Regions from separate parts of the Mus musculus genome. Here regions 1 and 2 are each reported to be linked to region 3. The links are microRNA targets in miRTarBase. Many come from high-throughput screens and were not tested one by one. Region 3 holds a microRNA gene; each other region holds the end of a gene's coding sequence.

The links. Region 3 holds the annotated microRNA mmu-miR-339-5p (UCCCUGUCCUCCAGGAGCUCACG, at 2,725-2,747, shown strand). A microRNA usually pairs through its seed, bases 2 to 8, with sites in the 3' UTR of a target mRNA and lowers its output. Matches are read on the target gene's strand: a 7mer-m8 pairs with bases 2 to 8, a 7mer-A1 pairs with bases 2 to 7 and ends in A, and an 8mer does both.
Region 1: the mRNA of Dhrs7b is a reported target of mmu-miR-339-5p. Seed matches in the 3' UTR shown: 7mer-m8 at 2,998-3,004.
Region 2: the mRNA of Rbm11 is a reported target of mmu-miR-339-5p. Seed matches in the 3' UTR shown: 7mer-m8 at 1,301-1,307.

What each region holds. Positions count from the first base shown.
Region 1 is chr11:60,857,209-60,861,272 of GRCm38, reverse strand. Dhrs7b (dehydrogenase/reductase (SDR family) member 7B) reads right to left here. Exons shown (of 7, transcript NM_145428.2): 7 at 2,850-3,555. The coding sequence ends at 3,350. Among named protein-coding and RNA genes, the nearest start is that of Tmem11, 20 kb to the left of the region's middle.
Region 2 is chr16:75,600,490-75,604,553 of GRCm38, forward strand. It overlaps Rbm11 (RNA binding motif protein 11), which reads left to right. Exons shown (of 5, transcript NM_198302.2): 5 at 124-2,336. The coding sequence ends at 411. Among named protein-coding and RNA genes, the nearest start is that of Rbm11, 9.6 kb to the left of the region's middle.
Region 3 is chr5:139,368,389-139,372,454 of GRCm38, reverse strand. Mir339 (microRNA 339) reads left to right here and starts at 2,710; the gene lies at 2,710-2,805. The region is part of intron 2 of 3110082I17Rik (RIKEN cDNA 3110082I17 gene); the gene reads left to right.

The DNA.
Region 1 (4,064 bases), not on the chromosome of region 3:
CATGACTAGACTTCACCAGAAAAATAAAACTTGACATTCTCAGCAAGGGGACGGGATAAAGACCTTGACAAAGAAAACTTTAGAACATTCAAGAAAGACACCAAAGACACTCGAAGATGGGAAGACCTCCATTCTTAGGGGCTGGAAGAATTAATATTGTGAAAATAGCAATCTTGGGATGGGTAACCCAGTTTGGGACTGCCTAATATTCCTGAGGCCCTAGGTCTGTTTACCACTCTATAAACTCGCATGGTGCACATGCATAGCCCCAACATTTTATGAGAGGCTGGGGCAGGAGGATTAGGACTTGGGAGGCCATCCTTGACTACTGAGTGACTTTGAGGCCAGACTGAGATACAGTCTGGGAGGGAGGGAAGAACCATATATATCAGATATAACCAGATTCAATGTAATTGCATCAAAATTCAAAAACCATTCTTAGAAATAACATAAATTTCTGAGTTCGAGGCCAGCCTGGTCTACAGAGTGAGTTCCAGGACAGCCAGGGCTACAGAGAGAAACCCTGTCTGGAAAAAAAAAAAACAATCAATCAATCAAAACTAGAAAAACAAATTTCAGAAGTGCAAAAGATCCTTGACAGCCAAAGTAATCTTGAACAAAAGGAATAAACGTGGGAGGTCAGCACCTTACAGAGCGTGAAGTTTGTCATGGTCGTCATAGCAGTCAGCTCAGTATTAGCATTAAGCAGATGTAGACTAATGGGGCAAAATAAAAGACTGAGCTAGGACCTCGTATCACTGGAGCTACAAAGATGCCAGAAATGCACAAATGGAGCTGCGAAGCCTGGCCACCCACCTAGTCAAGAACGAAACTAGATCTTTATCTTGCCCTGCACACAAATATATCAGTTCCAAATAGACCTTCATGTGAAACTCAAACCTGTTACGGAAAAGTAGGGAAAATATTTCCAGAAATAGGCACTTTGTGAACAGGACCCCTGCAGCTCAGGTGACAAGGCCAGCAAGGGATAAATCAGACCTCATGAAGCTAAAAGGCCTCTGTACAGCAAAGGGAGCGTGACTTGGGTGGAGAGAGCCAACAGGATTAAAGAAACTGTCAGAGCTGAGAGGGTTAATATCTAGAATACACAACGAACTTTTAAAAAGTGAGCCATAACAGATGAAATAAATACAAATGGCTACAAAACATGAAAACTGTTCATCTCATTATGCATCAGAGCAATGCAGGTCAGACATCTCACTTCAGTTACAAAGTCAGTCATTAAGAAAACAGCAAACGCTGGCCTGGATGTGGGCAAAGGGAACTCTTACACACTGCTGTGTGTAAGAATCTAAACTAGTGTGACTTGTACAGAAATCAGTATGGAAGTTTCTCATAGAAAGAGACCTGCTGTGTACCTGTGCTACCCAGGGGTGCGAGTCAGACCATCTGAGACACCTGCTCATCCGTGAGCGCTGCAGCAATAATCACAATAGCTAAGCTATGCAACCAGCCTAGGTGTCCAACACCAGACAGGAAATAGAGATAGGGATAACAAAACAGCACACTCACTGGACTGACTCCTTTCCCTTTCCCTTTCCTCTTCTCTCTCTCTCTCTCTCTCTCTCTCTCTCTCTCTCTCTCTGCCTTCCTTCCTTCCTTCCTTCCTTCCTCCCTTCCTTCCTTCCCTTTTTTTGGTTTTTTGAGACAGGGTTTCTCTGGGTAGCCCTGGCTGTCCTGGAACTCACTCTGTAGACCAGGCTGGCCTCGAACTCAGAAATCTGCCTGCCTCTGCCTCCCAAGTGCTGGGATTAAAGGCGTGTGCCACCACTACCCAGCTTTGACTTTCTTCAGTTATTAAAATTAACAAAGTTTTGTACATTTGTGAAAAAACAAGTGCAACTGGAGATAATACCTTAAATTAAGCGAATCTCAGAAGGCAAGTGTCTCATGTTTTTCTCATTTTTGGCTCCTAAGTTTCATATAGTCACATAAAATGAGGTACATAGACAATAAAATAGAAGTGATGGGGATGGAAGGAGATTAAGATGGGAGAGAGAAAGGGCAGACAGGGAGGAGGAGGTAATGCTCAACGCACAATGTTTATCTGTTCATTTTAAAGGCAATTCATCAGGCCCAGAGCTAAGTGAACGTGACAGCTTTATAAGGGAGTTTTACTCATATCTGGGGAGATCTCCAGTGCACCTCCTATGGTTTCAGCTTTTAGTTTCTATAACAGAAAAAATTTCCTTCTAAACTTGGAAAATGAAGTTGACCTGCACCTCATGCCTTTTTCATAAGTCAGAGGTGGCCAGACGGTGGTGGTGGTGCGATAGTGGTGGCTTGATGGTGGTGGCGCACGCCTTTAATCCCCCACACTCTGGAGGCAGAGGCAGGCAGATCTCTTGAGTTTGAGGCCAGGCTGGTCTACAGAGGGAGCTCCAGGACAGCCAGGGCTACACAGAGAAACCAAAAGTCAAAGGTAAGCACAAGGTCTCTTCCTAGCTCTTCCTGGAATTGGGGCACCGCCTGAGCAGTGCAACCCCAGCCGACATCTGCAGTCTGAGTGCCTTCTTCCCATGCCACACCAGAGCCAAGCAGCAACTCTCCTTGTTGGCTGCTCTCCAACAGGCTCACCTCAGCTTGGAATGGTACCCGGTGAGGCTACTGGAAAAGTAACAGGACCAGGGGAGAGGACTCGGGGGAATTCTTCCTGATTGCTAAAGTTGGCACTACATAGGATACACCAAACATCCTTCCACACTCACCCACTTTCTACAGTAAGAGCAGGACCTGGGACCATCTTAAGACTACCAGCCTTCTCCCTCAGGCCTCTTCCATAAGAATTGGGCCAGTGGCCTCCAATAAGCCAAACTAAGAGCAGATTTGAGAAGGTAGGATGAATAGGGATGGGGGTGGTACACAACTTTAATCCCAGCCCTGGGAGTTGGGGGACAGAGGCAAGTGGATTCTTGAGTTTAAGGCCAGCTTGGTCTACAGAGTGAGTTCCAGTATAGCTGGGGCAACACAGAGAAACCCTGTCTTGAAAAACAAAAGAAAAAGCCAGATTTGGGGCTGGTGCTATTATGCCTGGTCCCCAAACCTCCAGAACCACTTCCGAAACCAGGGACGTCCGAGACTCAGAAGACCTGTACATGGTTCTTCTACTGTGAACTCTGACCCACTCTTCAGTCATTTATTTTACATCGTTTAGTGTTCCTGTACAACTCCATATTTCACTCCTTAAGAGCTAATCACTCCCTGGGAAACAAATACAAGGTAGCCCTCCACCAGGTCTTAGCGGCGGATCCCGTGCACTGCAATCCCCACCCAGGAAGGTGTGGTAGTCGGTCTGATCAGGCTGCCCAAGCCAGCAGCCCTACCAGCATCAGGAGCTCTTGGATTTCCGCTCTTTTCTGGCCCGAGAGGCCATGATTCTGAAGAAGAGCCCGGGAGCCAGAGTTCTGATGTAGACAGCCATGGATGGCACAAAGTCTGTCAGGAGAACATCTTTTTTCTTCTTCCCCACAGCATCAAAGACATCCTGGGCCACCTCTGCAGCGCTTCGGCCCTGGGCTGTGTTCTTGTCTAGAGCTACAGTAAACAAAAGAAAAGGAACCTAAACCGGGTGTGGTGGCGCACGCCTTTAATCCCAGCACTTGGGAAGAAGAGGCAGGTGGGTTTCTGAGTTCGAGGCGCCAGCCTGGACTACAGAGTGAGTTCCAGTACAGCCAGGGCTATACAGAGAAACCCTGTCTCGAAAAACCAAAAAAAAAAAAAAAAAAAAAAAGGATAAACAAGGAGGCATGAGGCCAACCAGCTCTTAGAGCTCCTCCGGACAGGGAGGATATTACACTGAGAAAGTGAGAAACGTTTATGGTTCAGAGCAGGGAAATGGGGACAAAAGAGATACAGACAAGATAATAGACTGGGTATACCAGTTAGTGTGTGGAACCAAAGGGAATGTGTCTGTTTGGTGCTCTGTGGCAGATGCCGAAACCCAGCACAGGGAGGCCTCAAAGTGGGCTCCAGGCCCATGTAAAGAAGATTGCGGGCTGGAGAGATGACAACAGTTAGGTGCAGTGGAGAACTCGGAGGTCCTG
Region 2 (4,064 bases), not on the chromosome of region 3:
CCCTAACCCTGTACAGCCCACTCGCTGTGTTACACCCAGACCAGCTAGGCACGTCTGCCTGAAAGCACATGTGAGGTGCCTCAGCATGGTGAGTGTGTGTTCACAAGTGTCTTCTCTTCACAGCCATGGTACGCACACAGTCCAGTGCTGCAACCGCCTTTCTGTGAGATGCCAGCCCCACTTCCCAACAGTGTGCCTGGGTCTTGCGCCTTAAATCACTCTCCAGGCCCAGAGGCTGGACCCAGCTCCTATGAGTGGACTCACCAGCCACCAAGCGACCCTGACCTGTATCCTAGGAATAAACGGAAGAGGCAAAGGCCAGACAGCGACAGCGACAGTAGCTCAGAAGACAAGAGAGGAAACGAAGGAAGCCAAAAGTGCCGCAAGTGTAAAAAGAAGAAAAGATACTAGCGAACTGTATCTGCACTGCTCTCAAACCTCTCTAGAAAAAAAAAAATCTGTTGCACCAAATGATCCATTTCTTGTCCAGCTTGTCGTTTTTGAAAACGTATGGAAATATGACTCTGTGATTTGCTATTCAGTTTACTATTCATGCTTATGAATGACAAAAGCCTTGAAACAGTAATATATTGTTGTGCGTTTGCATTTGCAAGATTGCCTTGGGACCATTGTCTCACAGAAAGCTTTCTACCAGCGCAGGTGGGCTGGCCTCAGAGGGGTTGCGGGCAGAACTAATGGGAATAATTAAAAACAGTGTGCTTTAGTAACTATGTAGCAAGGATGCTAATTAAAAACAGTGTGCTTTAGTAACTATGTAGCAAGGATGCTTGAGTTCCTGTTCTAGCTGACACTCTTCCTTTTTATGTCTAAATATGGTACCTCTGAGCATCCCTATCACACAGTGTTGCCTTTAAGCATCGGACACTCAGGCTATGACGGGAAAGATAGTTGCCATATGCTCCGTGTCCTATGCTTAAAGGCAACACTGTGTGATTATTCATGTTTTCTATCATTTTTATTTGATATAATTATCTGTATACATCACACTTCTTGTTTGTAAGGGCACTCAGTTGATGGTATCAGTATCTACTGTCTAATTCTCCCAGCAAGGGTGGGAAGGACATAGTGGCTGTGTGAATTGCTGCGATGACCAAGTGTACAGAATGATGCCGCATATACTTAATGCCTATTGTCCAAGTCAGTACATTTATTTCACTTATTTTAGAAGATAAATGTAAACATTTCAAATGAATGGGGTATGTCAGCACTTTTGTTAACTTGACGGCTTACCATAACCTAATGATGAAGATATTTTATATATATATATTTGGTTTTTCAAGACAGGGTTTCTCTGTGTAGCTCTGGCTGCCCTGGAACTCACTTTGTAGACCAGGCTGGCCTCGAACTCAGAAATCTGCCTGCCTCTGCCTCCCAAGTGCTGGGACTAAAGGCGTGTGCCACCACGCCTGGTGAAGATCATATATCTATTAAAGCTAATTGAAAGGATAATGCAAACCCATTATGAATTATCTACCCAGTTCAGGAGAGAATAAGGCACACGTGGGTGTGACCTTTGCATGTTGCCCACTCGTTCATACATATTATTTAATGAATAAAAGTATCTTTAACCAACAGAATAACTGAGTTTTACTCTTGGATAATGAGGATATAAGTGGCGATTATGACAAATACAAGCTTATCTTATATAAAGACCTAAATTACGCTGCATGGAACTTTAACTGGGCTTTTAACATTCTTAAATATTAAAATATGAAAATGTTGGTTTTTTTTCTTTTAAATCCATATTTTAGCAATTTGGAATCATGGCCAAGATAAAATTCATTCTTTCGTAATTATATAGCAGCACCTTTAAACATATTACCATCATCTTCTATGTTCCTCCAGTTATGAAATTTACCACAGACATAAATTAGGCCATGTGGTTAGCAGAGCTGGGTATAAGAATGCATCTTAGCAACTGAGATTAATGTGTGTAAGAAAATTAGGTTGAAGTAGGACATGCTCTAAATGTCACAACTGGGAAATGTTCTTGTAACTCTCCCACCAGAGAAAGAAAACTAACTCAGTATCTGCTCTTAACTAGTCAGCCATTCAGCTAAGCAGACTGCTAAGAGAGTCGATTTTACTGTGGTGTCTTTTGTTAAAGACCAGGAAACTTCCTGTAAGATGCTAAGATTTGCCCCAACCCCAAAATTTTAAGTTGTCTATTTTCCAAGTGCTATAGACTTGGATGAAGGATTATTAAAATTCTTTGCCTCACATGGTTTTCTTCTCCAATTTTAATCCACCAGTCTCAGAATTGACTTCAAATTGTAAATGAAGTTAATAATCTAAAAATAAAACTAAACCCTTTCTGTGTTCTCATCTTCAATTTATTTAATTAACTTTTAATATACCACTCAGTGTCATAACAAGGAAAAATGCCACAAAAAGTTAGTGTCAAGCTAACCTTCAAATTTGCAGAGAGGAGACACACACCTTGCTGTGGCTTAGATAAGAGATGCCTATGAAATTTCAGCATTAAATGCTATTTATATGCAATATTTTTATAAAATTATTTTAAAATGCTGTTGCAATTGATTTTTGTTATTGTCTATCGCCTAAAAAATACTGAAAATTGTTACACATAGTTCATCACTTTTCGGGTTAAAAATATACTCAAATAGAGCCTCAATTTCTTTACTATATGGCTAAAGATTTCTCTCTTGACAATATTTCCAATATTGTACTTAGATTTTTCCCCGTATTTATTAAACATATTCACTGGAGTGTCTCACTAGCAACACAAACCTTATACTTTCCTTTCTAGCCAAATTCTCCCCTACTATTTCTTCTTTGATCAGTTGCTGACACAAAAGGATAATGCTGACCTGTGAGCTTGCTGAGTGCCCTGACAATGGTAACAGGAAAGATGTATTGGGTGTATGTTCTTGACCCACCTTTGCTTGCCTATGTCCCAGATTAGACAACCTTGGCTGCCTTGCTTCAAGCTTCTACATCTTGTGGGACAGAGAACATAGAGACTGTGGAAACTGACTTAGAAAAATTGATCAAAAGGAGAGGAGTTATAATGACTGTTCTCTTTCCTTTAATGTGACCAGTTATTTTGACTCAATCATGGTGTGGCCTAGAAATAAATCCAATATTGGAGATTCCAATTATGAAGAGAGCTAATAATCTTTATTCGCCAGCTTACCCAGTTCTTACCAATATTACCTGAGAAGTCACAGTTTTTTTTTTTTTCCTGTTCATTCTCAAAGACACCTCCCCCACAGTGGGAGGCCAGACCTTGGATCTGATTGTTGCTAATTTGCATACCTGGGACATCCCCACAGTCAACCTTAATCCTGTGGCTTTTAACTTTTGACTTTGTATTTCAAGCAGATAGGTTACCTACATACAGGCTCACCTTCAGCAAAGACCAGTCATGGCAGTTATTTATGAAGAGATGCATTGAGTGCATATTGTGGCTTTGGTCTGAATGGGGAAAAAAAGGCGTGCTATGAGGGCCGGCAGCCATAAGACAGGCCACTGATGATGCTATGACTCCTATCAAGCTAAGACAGAGGCATGTGCCCAGCAGCCATATTTTTTCATGATAAACACTAAAAGGCCATGTTTGTGCAAATAAACACAAACAAGCTGCATCTGGCCTCCAGGACGGGAAAGAGAGAGTATAATAGAGTCAGTCCTAAGCAAGGCACGGCCACCAGCCACCATAATTCCCAGGCAGGACCATGAAACATAAGTAAATCTAATGCCGCAGTCCAGCTAAATCTTAATAAATAAAAAGGGAGGAACTGTGCCCTTCCCCCCAACCTTGAGTGGGCTGATTCAGACCTTGTTTTTGCCACAGCCTAGCGCACCTAAGGTGGCGTCTTTCAAACTAGGTAAAGTCTATTGTCTGCTACCTATGCAGCTTTCTGCAAGAAGCCACTACCTGCTGAGCAGCCTGCACTTGTTGTCCTGATGAGAACCTGACAAAGCTACAAGATCCTGACAAAGCAATGAGATCCTGGCCTAATGGGGAATGGGTCCCCCCCTTTTTAAGTTCAGACTCAAAAGTAAATATTGAGCCTTGA
Region 3 (4,066 bases):
GATCTATGGAATACAAGTCCGCGGCAAGCTGGAGGGTGGCTTGGCAAGAGCACACACCCCAGCCACAGCCTAGGTTAAACAAGGATGCGGCCAACCACGCCCCCTACATACAATAATCCCCCTTGGTTCAGGCACGTGTCCCGGCAGAGGCCACGCCCACACGCCGAGGGCGCAGGCGCGCCTGCGTCACTGTCCAGCCGGCTAGATCTGGTTCCGCCCCAGTCCCGACTCGCTGCTGTGAAGCGTCCTGGGTCTCGGCAGTTCGCGCCAACAACTCCCCGCTGCCTACGAGCGAGGTCAGTGCGTGGCCAGGCGCGGGCGGCGCCAGGTGACCCCGAGGCATCGGTGGTGGCCTCGCTCTGTAGCCACGCGAGGTCGTCCAGGTGTCCCTTCGCACCGCTGCCTGCCTTCCCACCCCTGAGCCCATAGCCTGGGCCCCGCTCATAGTCTTATTAGACTTTGAGTCTTAGGCTTTGAGACCGCTTGCCAGGTTAACATGCCAGGTTAACTTGCCAGGTTAACATGGACACCCAGGAGGACCCTCCTGGGTGTCCGCGGTGTGTGCAGAGCCCTGACCCAAAAAACTGCTTGTGAACAGTGGGAGGGGCATAACAACAAACTTTATGGCACTTAATGAAGTCCCTGTGTAATGTTGATTTCATTCTTGCCTGCTCCACTAGCCTGGGTTTTTGTGTTTTGTTTTGTTTTTTTCCACCTCCCAAGAGGCAGACTTTGTTGCAGGCCTTCTCAATTGCTCCCAGGTCAGCCTTCCTGCAGGAACTCCTTAAAGTCTGTGGGGAAGGTGGTATAGTTAGGGTCTGGAGGTGAGAACTTGGCAGGCTGTGCTCACAGGCTGACACTCGCAGGAGAAATAGGATCGCAGGCTGCTCAGCTAATGTGGAAGCCTGGTGGCTGATAGTCTTTGACAGTACATAATTGTTTGTTTGGTTTTTTTTTTTTCCCTGGGAGACCCCATTTTCTGCCCAGTTGTAGCTGCTTGCACCCGCACCTTGGATGACTCCCACACTTTGCTTAGTGGGCTTTTCAAGCTTTAGAAATCCGCTCTGCATTATAATAGCAAGATCAGCACAAAAAGTAGGAACTATAGAGGATCCTGCGAGTGTTGTTTGTGCCCCAGTGTTTGTTCTGGTCATCTCTGCCCTCGTTGGCTCAGAGCTGTCTTCACATTTCTGCTGTTTTAAAAAAAGGGGGGTGGGGAGTTTTGGATTGCTAGGGAGTCACTTACCCAGGTGAGCAGAGACATCTGACCTTGCTTGCAGGGTGGTTGCTGGGCCCGTTGTAGCAGGAGAAATGGCCTTTCCTTGGCCACAGCAAGAAAGCTTCCATGACCTTAATGTCACTTGGGGGTCCACTAGGCAGTTTGGGATGTGTGAACACAGCTGCTCTACCAGAGGAAGCCAAAATCAAAAGCATTTTGATTACCGGCACACTCAAATAGAATTGGGAGTGGGGCACGTGGAAACCAGGCTAGAACAAGCATCCCTGGGTGGTGGGCATGCCGGGAAGCTCTAGAGAAGGGGATGTGGGTACCTGGCCCTGGCTAGAAAGAAGGCCTCCAGCTAGGGCGAAGGAGGCAGACTGCAGCTGAAATGAGACTGAGTCTCGCTCGGCTCAGGGACGCAGCGCAGGCTCTGCACAGTACACAGGTTCTTGTGTCAGCAGGCTTTTCCTGGCCTGGGAATGCTCAGTTATAGATGCAAGCCCCTCCCTCTCCTTCACTTCAGGGTCTCCTACTGCAGGGGTCTGATTAGAGACCTCCCCATCTCCCCCGCTGCAGGGCCCTCTTCCCTGCCTGTTGGCTGCTTTCTGCCATTTCTGAGTAGACCTAGGTGGGAGCTTGTTGTGTGTGTCGCCCTCACGCCCGTGATTCAGGTGGCAGGGGCTGACTCTGTCCTTGCTCTTGGACCAGGAGCTTCACTGATGGCCGAGTTGGGCTTCCCACTTAAACTTGTGCCAGAGCTGCTGGGACCAGTTCCTGTGATCTGCAGGCAAAGGGACGGAAGTTTTATCTTCTGGAGCCAGCCCCTCAGCCTAGTCAAGGAAATCTGCACCCTGTTCAAGCTCCTGGGGTCTGTCTGCTCCTGTGTTGGAACTGGGGACATGTGAGATAGCAGTGGGAGAGGTTAGACCTAGAAAACCCATGGGACCTTCATAACCTTGTTGGTGGGGCCAGTCAGCCTGAGTCAGGTGAGCTGAGGCCAGAGAGCCAAGAAAACCGATGTATAGTCGGGGACTCACAGCCTAGAGGCCTTGTGGTCTGTGCTGGAGTCTGTGAGAAAGTTAATTCTCTGGGCAGCCTGAGGTCAAGACTTAGGCTTTAGCCTGTGTTTAACCCCCAAGTAAGTGACACAGGGTGTTTCTGCCGTGACTGCAGAAGGACCTGTGGCCTGGACAGAGCCTGGGCTTGGTGGCGGTGACAACATCACCTCTGGGGATTCGTGTGTCCTGTGGCAGCTGGTGATGGCCCAGTCTCCTGTTTCTCAGGGATACATCAGATCTGCTGCTCACTTCCGCCATTCAGGTCACTGAGGAGGCAGGGTGCCGCATCTGTCATCTTTGTCTTTTTCAAGCATGGGGCTTAAGTGACATTTTGTGCATTTGAAAAGTCATATCTAGAAGGGGATCCCTAGGTGGGTGTGACCCTTGCCTTGGCACCAAGGTGGTGAGAGCACAGCTGTGCAGAGCTGGACGGGGTGGCCACTATCCCTGTCCTCCAGGAGCTCACGTATGCCTGCCTGTGAGCGCCTCGGCGACAGAGCCGGTGTCCACCCCTGCACTGTCCACAGACCCTTGCCTGCAGACCAGGGTGCTCAGTCGCTGGCTGTTCATGCTGTACCTTCTTGAACTCGATTGTGCAGATCTGCAGGTTGTTCCGTGGATGGAGGGGACTCTGGTTTCTCTGTGCGGTGACGCAAGGCACTGACCCCTCTGGGGTCCTAATCATCTTAACCTACGCAGACACTGAGGGGGAGGGGAGAGGAGCCAGGAGGGAGCCTTCCAGGTCTCTCCCTCTGTGTGTGTCCTCTGTAGCACCAGTTGATTCTACTGCGTGTGACCTATGTCCTGGCAGTTGGTGTCCCTGGGTCACTTCTACATCCACTGTGTTTCAGTAATTACCTCCAAATAAAAAGCTTCCTTTAAAACAAACTCTCTCCCCTCTCTTCATTATGTTGTTGTGCTTTTGCTTTGTCTTCTGGAAATCTTGCTACCGAGTGAGTGCATAGCCGGGCAGCAGTCTGCTGAGGTCTGTGAACCGGAATGGGCTCTCAAGGTCGAACACCTCTGTGGGACCCTGGACTCGGGCTGGCTCCAACTGAATGGAGGAGGGCTGATTCTGGGCTGGGGAATGAGAACAGAGTCCACTGGCCTTGGCACCCAGCTCGTCAGCCTCAGCAGGCTTCGTGGTCTCCCCCCACAAACATCGCTGTCACTTGTAGGCCATTCCCAATGTCTGGGGAACAGGTATAGGGGTGGTAGGGACCAGAGACCATGCCCCAGCCTTGGAGGCACCACCTGGGTATGTGATAGACAGGCCAGGTGCTGGGCTCCATCGACCATCTGCTGTGCCCTTGGGACTCTGTCCTGTGTGAAGCGGGTCAAATGACTGGATTCCCTGCCACTCAGCTGCGCCCCCAGTACAGCTGCTCTGGTCACATGATGGGGTGGGGACAACAGAGGGTCCTTCTACCCTCACCTGTGTTCATCCTTACACCTGACTCAGTCATTCCAAGAAAGAAGGTCCTACAGAGCTGTGTGTCTGGCACTGGCTACCAGGGCCTCTACTGCCAAGGTCTACAACTAACCTTTGAGGGGTTTTTGTTTATGTTTGAGACAGACTTGCTAAGCTCAAGCTAGCCTTGGACTTTCAATCCTCAGGACATATTCACCAACCTCCTCCACAATTCCAAGAACGTTTGAACAAGATGTTTTTGAGCCCAGTGGATGCTCAAAAACGCTGGGCATTGACTGCCTCCCCAGGACAGCACAAATCCCTATTAAGAGAATATCCCCAGTCATACTGCCCCAGCACAGGTGATGCCCTGGC